2 linked regions of the Stegostoma tigrinum genome follow. The protein of the gene in region 1 interacts with the protein of each later gene in a pairwise test. Links are inferred from orthologs where the notes say so. Each region holds a gene or a part of one and is shown on either strand. Other genes may lie near its edges.

Region 1 (3,926 bases):
AATGCAGGAAATTAGCATTTAGGTAATGATGCTCAATTGAAGAGCTGGTAGAGGCATGATTGGCCAGATCTGTAACAATTCTGTGATACTACCCCCAACACATTTGGTTCTTACAAAGTAGCCTAACATGTAGTACTTTATCAAATACCTTTTGAAAATCCAAATATATTACATCCACTGGTTCCCCTTTATCCAACCTGCTTGTTACCTCATAGAATAGAATCATAGAATTGCTACAGTACAGATTGAGACCTTTCAGCTGATCAAACCTGCACCAACCATCTGAAGTTCATCCACCCCACTACTCTACTCCAGAACCCTGCATTTACCATAGCCAATCCACCTAGGCTGCACATCTTTGGATTGTCAGAGGCAACCGATGCACCCAGTGGAAACCCAAGCAGTCACGGGGAGAATGCGCAAACTCCACACAGTCGCCCAAAGTTGGGATTGAACCCATGTTCCTGGCATTGCGAGGCAACAGTGCTAACCACTGAGCTATTGTACCACCCAAGATGGAAGATGGAAACACGTAAAAATTTCTTCTCTCAGACGATCATTAATATTTGGAGTCCCTTTGATAGAGAGTAGTGGAAACTGCATCTTTGAACATGTTCCAATTAGAGCTTGATCCACAAGGGAATCAAATATTATGGATGAGGGTGCTGACAAGGGAAAGTGGAGTTTTGGCCATGATGAGATCAGCCATATTTGTACTGAATTGTGGAGCGTACACGATGGCCAAAACGGAGTATTGCTACTTGTATTTCTTATTATTCTATGGCACAGTGGCCAGTCCTTAAACCACAGCGTGTCCCCAGTGAGAATTTGGAATGACTGCCCCAAATTTACACATGAAATTCTGGGTGGTATGTGCCTGTTCACAACACTCAGTCGTTATTGTGTTCCAGGGTTGGTGAACTAAGTTGGTCGATCTCCAGCAGCAGCAGTTATTTGTTATCTTGGTGCAAGTGACTGGGAATGAAACACACCATCTCCTTTCCCGACATGCTTAGAATTGCAAAGGCAGATCCCAGGGAGCAGAGGTAATGGTAAACAGTGCAAAGCATGATATTTCGGAGCATTAGTATGCAATGCCTTGGTGGATTTGAGAAAGTATTTTAATGTAAAAGCAAATTTCGCGCGGGCGAAGCGCGAGCGCAGCACATGCGCATTGCGTTGCACGGCTGCACCCTCGGAAGCGGGAAACATGAAGTGATCGAGAGGTGATATTTTATTATCATCCACCGGGAGATCGGCCCTACCTGTAACTGCGGGGTTAGATCATGTCCATACGGCTAGATACTTCTCTCCTGAAGGCCGGAGTAACAGGCGACTGAAATGCGGAGGTCTTCAGCTCCGAGTCAGCTCAGTGGCAACGCAGCTAAAAAGTTCAAGTTTATCCCTCCCAGGAGCGGGGGGCCTGGTTCGGCAACCGCCAGTCTCCCGGCAACGAGTGAGGTACAATCTAAATTAAGTTTAAAAATAAAATGTGCCAGGTATCGCATTTTGAGTTTGTCGATCACCTGTCACAATGCCTTATTACTGAGACTGTTCCTGATGTGTATGTAAATTGCCTATATGTAACTGTCTGTATAAATTTAATTTCCGTCATTCTGACCGGGGAGCACCACAGGCAGTTTACTGTGTATCTTATAAAATCGAAAGAATAATTGTGAGTTTATGAAGACCCCCAAGATATCACCGTGCTGCTTTCTGTCGTCCTGCTATATGTGTAGCTCCCTGGAAAGAATAATTTATCCAGTTTTCGTTGTGGGTGCAGAGACACCACATTTGTTTTCCAAGTTAGGAAGAGAAGGTAACCAAAGTTGTTTTCTTAAAAAAATATATATATATATATTCAATTAGTATTCAGTAGGCTTTGTTTTTGGTGATGACAGACTTAAGCCTTGTTTCTGGAGCTTCCTCCCCGAACCCCATCATGGTCTTCAAGTTTGCTGCCTTAACTTCAAGGGATGTAAACATGACTCTTTGTTGCCGATAACTGATGCAGCCATTCATTACAGGACCTACCAGGAGCACGTTGTTGGGTCAGGCAATACTGCCAAACTGCTTACTCTTTAATGATCATTCTTGAATGTAAAGTTAATTTCAGGCTTATTTTCTCCACTACAAACTTTCTTAAATGCCTCACTCCCAATGATAAGTAGGAGACATTCAAGATCTGCCTTGTCTCTAAAGTTGAAACTGGCTGTTAGGAGAAGTGAGTACCCTTATCAAGGTATCATTTGACTCAGAATAGCATCAAGGTGCTTCAGCTAAACTGAATTTGACGAAAATCCACTAGTTTAAGATATACCAACACAGATTGTGGTTGTTAGAAATCACCTCAGTCCCAGGATATTGCTGCAGCAGTTTCTCAAAGTTGTGTCCTAGGTCGACCAACTTCTCACCTGTGTTATCAATAACTTTCCATTCAAATCTTGAGCTGAAAAGGTCACAAATTTCAATTCATCACAAATTTAAGAAAGTTTCAGCGGAGGCCTCTTATTGCTGTTAAATGATCTATTTGACCTTGGACTTGCCCCAGGCCAAGTGACTCCCTATGCAGATATAGAGTGTTTCTTTCAGTTTTTCATTCAAGCCCACACGTCGATTGGCTATCGTACTCCAACATCAGTTTGAAAGTCAATTGTTCGCTGACTGATGTTCAGCACCACTGAGACAGGTGCTGAAGCACTCCGTGTCCATATACACCACAAACATAGAAGTTTTTAGGCTTGGGCTGATAAAATGGTAAACAGAATGGTAATTTTTGCCACAGAAGTCGCAAATGATTTACCTCCGGCAAGTGAGACAATCTTCCTTGAAGATTTTAATGACATTCTCATAGTTAAATTTGTCACCATCATCAGCACAGAGGTAATCACGAAGCAGAAGCCTTAACATATAAGTACAGTGGCTGCAAGAGCAGGTCAGATGCTGGAAATGTTGTGATGAATGACTCCTTACTCTCCAAAACATAACCACCATCTACAATACACAAGTCAGGAGTACGTCAGAATAGTCTTCACTTACCTGGATGAGTGCAGATCCAGGGAAGATCAAAGATTAACAACATTCGGGATATAGCAGCTTGCCCAATCAGCACCTCAGCCATCACTTTAATCATTTGCTCCCTCTACACTGGCTCATGGTGGCAGCAGTGTGTACTACGTACAAGAAGCTCTACCAAAATTAATCTAGGCTCCTGTAACACCATTTTCTAAATTGGCAACCTTTTCCATTGAGCATTAGATACATGGGAACAACACCGCTTAGAAGTTTTTCTCTGAGTTCACGCAGTGCTGACTTGGATCACAATTTCCATTCATTAATGGGTCAAAATGCTTAGTATTTCTTTGAAAGTGCTATGGTGTACCTACATGAGGTGGACCACTTTTTTTTTCATTCTTTCATGAGATGTTGGTGTTGCAGGTTAGGCCCGCATTTATTACCCATGTAGTGAGCTGCCTTCTTGATTCGCTGTAGTCTATTTCGGGTAGGTACAACCACAATGATGTTAGGGATTGAGTTCTAGAATTTTTACCCAGCAACACTGGAGGAATGTTGATTTTTCTTGTCATGTTTACCGAGATACAGTGAAAAGCTTTGTTTATGAGCAGTGCAAATAGATCACAGCAAACAAAGGATGTACAGATCTAAAAGACTTTGAGGCATACCGGTTATGTTGCAGATTACATTATTTGTGGCAAGAGTCCATTCAACAGTCTGATAATGGCCGGAAAGAAGCAGTTCCTGAACCTGCTTGTGCATTTGTTCAGGCTTCTGTACCTTCTGCTTGACGAAAGAGGTTGTAAGAGGTCATTACCAGGTCGTGATAGGTCTTTCATTATGTTGGTTGCCTTTCTGTGACAGTAAGTCGTGTAAATAGAGTCCGTGGATAGAAAGAATGTCAGGAGTCA
Region 2 (3,926 bases), on another chromosome or scaffold:
TATACATCCCTGAACACTGAAAAATTTAGCATGGCCAACCCACCTACCCTGCACATCTTTGGACTATGGGAGGAAACTGGAACACCTGGAGAAAATGCATGCAGGCACGGGTAGAATGCGCATACTCCATACAGACAGTTGCCAAAGGGAGGCATCCAACCCGGGTACCTGGCAGTGTGAGGCATTAGTGGTGACCACTCAGCCACTGTGCTGCCCAGATTCCTGTGTTATCCTCATTACTTGCCTTCCAATATAGTTTTGCTCCATCCGCAAACCTGCCAGGAGTACATTCATTTCTATCAAACAAATCATTAATATGCATTGTAAATAGTTGTGGCCCAAGCACTGATCTCTGTAGGACTCACTAGTTAGGTCGCCAACCTGAAAATAGCTCATTTATCCCAACACTCTATCTTTTGTTAGTTAGCTTTGCTCTACCCATAATCAGCCATCTCATTTAGCTGGTCAGCTGGTTTGTGATGCAGAGCAATGCCAACAGTGTGGATTCAATTCCCTCAGGTCACTTGGAATAACTCTCCTTCTCAATTTTCCCCTTACTAGAGTTATGATTACTCTAGGTTAAACTACCACCAATCATTACTCTCTCTGAGAAAGCAGCCCTATGATATAGTATTTATCCATCTTATACCCACAACAGTAATGGGCTCCTGTCTTACTAAGTAGCTTTATGTGCAGCACCTTATCAAATGCTTTTTGGAAATCAAAATATATTACATCAACTGGTTCACCTGTATCTACCTTGCTTGTTACCTTCTCAAAGAACTACAGTAAATTTATCAGATATAATTTCATCTTCATAAAACCATGCTGACTCTGCTCTATTATGTTTCTAAATGCTCAACCATTACTTCTTTTACATTAACCACTAATATTTTCCCAAGGACAGATGTTCAGCCAACCAGCCTATTGTTACCCATTTTGTCTCCTTTTTGAACATGGGTATTACACTAGCATTTTTCCAATTGCCTTGGGATTTATCCAGAATCTATGGATTCTTTTATGCCTTACAGTTACCTTCCTTAAAATTCCAAGATGCAACCCATCAGGTCCAGGGAACTGGTCTGCCTTTAGCCCCATTTGTTCCCCAATACATTTCATGGGCAAATGATGCCCAATGAGGAAACTGACTAGTTCTCCTAGTTTTGCTTGTGTGTGTGATTTCAAATACCAAACGTCAATACAGATGAGTCACTCTGAGAGGTGGGCGGGCGACGAAAGCTTTATCGGTAAGGAGCGAGTTTTGTGGAAGGCCTTCCCTGAGAATGTGAAGGATAGTGTTTCTGACCTGATCCATTTGGTCCGATGATGCAGTTAAACCGCATGAAGGGCCCGATCAATTGTCGGCCCCGCCACGACTTGAAATTTTCAACTTCAATTAATTGTAAAGTTCCCATTCCTAAAGTCTAATGTTTAAGAGGTAGTTGTGTCGGCCTCTATAGTGATGGCCTCTCCGTTCCCGTCGAAAGACGCCAAAAATTGTCCTTAACACAACTTCTTCAACCGCCGCAGAATACACAACACCTATGACACCAGATTGCCGCCAAACAGAGATCTCGCGATACTCTCCAGAAATCCCGTAACCGTTGCCCGATCGCCTAGCAACTGTTCTGTTTATCTCTTTTGTGGGGCCGGAAAATACTTAACGGAAGGAACTTTGCTTGACTCGTACTGTTGAAGACAATAATTTGTCACTGGTTTATTTGCTCTTCAAGGTCTTTTTTAATTTCATATATACTTAGCTTTCAGGTTATGAGAAGAACAAAACTGGAAAATGCAGAAACTGGGTGGCCCGTTTGATTTGAAAGAGGCTGAGATTATAGCGAGACGAAGAAACTTGGAATTGCAGAGGCAGAACAGGATTTTTAATGCCAGACTCAGAACAATTGGGGTAAATGCGCCATTTAGTATAATTTTACTGCGGATTTTAGTCCGGAGTTTATACTCATGTGTGATTAGAATTTTATAATATCAGGAAATAAGATGACGCATCAATAAACTTGGAAATAGTGGTATGCAGTTTAAACAAAACGTGTACTATTTATCTAGTCATTCGCGAAGTAGTATTGGAAATTAAAATAAAAGGTGCCTTCATTTCTCAAACTGCTTGGAACATTGTCCACATATTGAAGTACAACTATTCCTAACTTACTGACGTGTAAGAATAATGTCATCTATGCAACTACTAAACCTGACTTACTTTTGTACGCAAGCATTTGGAAGGTAGAGAAGGCGTTTGATGGAATATAAAATCAATCAACTTTTCATCAGGTTTTAAAAGTAAAGAATTATAAAGAAATATTTGCATAAAGATTAATAATTCATATTAAAAGAAACCACATAGCAAAACCTTTCTCTTTTGCCTCTGATTTGGCTTTTTTTAAGCATTTATTACTGGTAAATACTATTTATTTTATTGGATCATGAGCATTGTTCTTAAGACCATATTTATTTGACATCCCTAACTGCCTTGAGAAAGTGAGCAGCTGTAGCCCATATTCACCAATAGTGCTGTAAGAGAAAAAATTCCAGGAGCTAATATCAAAAATGGAAATTGGTTTATACATAATGAAGTATTACTTTTACAATGAACATTATTCCTGTTTTCATAGTGAGCATGATCCACAGAAATAGAGAAGTAGACTGAAAGAACTTAAGTATTTTTAAAATGTATACTGATCAGTTTTGTTTTAGTAGATTGATCAACAGGCATTGGATGGCCAAATCAAAGATAAGAAAATTCAGGAAGAGACAGAGGCTAGAAAACATTTAGCCTATGGTAAGTTATTTTGAATTCTGATAAATGGGAACATAATTTAAGGTAATGCATAAACTTGCATATTAGGACACAAAAAATGCTGTCAACTGTCTGTTCAAATACTTGCAAGTGTTTGATGATGGGAGAGACATTAAATGAATATTTTGCATCACATTTTACTGTGGAGAAAGAAATGGAGGCTACAGAATGCAGGGAAATAATATTGCTGTTTTGAAAACAGTTCAAATTACAGAAAAGGATGTGCTAGAGGCATCAGAAAATGTAAAGGTGGAGAAATCTCTGGAATTTAGTGTATCTCAGGATATTGCGGGAGGTTAGAGAGGAAATTGCAGGGCCCCTTGCAGTAATATTTGTATCATTAATAACTACAGGTGGGGTGCTGGATGACTGGACAGTGGCTAATGTCGTGCCTTTGTGTTCTTTTTATTCATTCATGGAAATGAAGGTGTCACTGGCCAGACAGCATTTATTGCCCATCTGTATTTGCACAGAGGGCAGTTAAGCGTCAACCATATTGCTGTGGGTCTGGAGTCACACGTAGGCCAGACCAGGTAAGGATGGCCGTTTCCTTCCCTAATAGACACTAGTGAACCAGTTGGGTTTTTCCTGACAGTCAGCAATGGCTTTATAATATTCATTGCAGTCCTAATTCCAGATATTTATTGATTTCAAATTCCACCATCTGCCATGGTGGGATTCGAATCTGGTCTCCAGAACATTATTTCGGTCTCTGGATTAACTGTACAGCCATAATACCACTAGGCCATCACCTCCCCCTGTATAATGTAAGTCTGGGGTAGAGCTTTCAGTCTGACTTCAGAGGTGGGTAAGTTGTTGGAGGTGATTCTGAAGAATAGGATTTGTATGTATTTGGTGAGGCAAGGAATGATTAGGGATGGTCAGCATTGTTTTTTTTGAGGGAAATCATGCCTCACAAAATTGGATGAGTTTTTTGAGGAAGTAACCAAAGAATTGATCAAGCAGAATGGTAGACTTAGACTTTGCTTAGACTTTAGTAAAGTCTTTGACAAAGTTCCAAATGGTGGACTAATCAGTAAAGTTAGATCATATGGAATTCAGGGTGAGCTTGCCAATTGGATACAAAATTGGCTTAATGGTAGGAGACTGA

What was found.
Region 2: the proteins of rad54b (region 1) and RIB43A-like with coiled-coils protein 2 interact in a two-hybrid assay, tested with the Homo sapiens proteins (2 studies listed by BioGRID and IntAct). The two-hybrid records come from large-scale screens. The link is inferred for Stegostoma tigrinum from reciprocal best matches to the Homo sapiens genes RAD54B and RIBC2.

Annotation. Positions count from the first base shown.
Region 1 is NC_081358.1:91,296,262-91,300,187, reverse strand, and holds the start of rad54b (DNA repair and recombination protein RAD54B), read left to right. Parts: upstream 1-1,032; 5' UTR 1,033-1,341; coding exon 1,342-1,461; intron 1,462-3,926. UniProt on the Homo sapiens protein: Involved in DNA repair and mitotic recombination. May play an active role in recombination processes in concert with other members of the RAD52 epistasis group.
Region 2 is NC_081371.1:20,081,650-20,085,575, reverse strand, and holds the start of RIB43A-like with coiled-coils protein 2, read left to right. Parts: upstream 1-1,609; 5' UTR 1,610-1,792; coding exon 1,793-1,909; intron 1,910-2,715; coding exon 2,716-2,797; intron 2,798-3,926. Other genes in the region: structural maintenance of chromosomes protein 1B-like, read right to left, coding at 760-774, 1,307-1,415. UniProt on the Homo sapiens protein: Microtubule inner protein (MIP) part of the dynein-decorated doublet microtubules (DMTs) in cilia axoneme, which is required for motile cilia beating.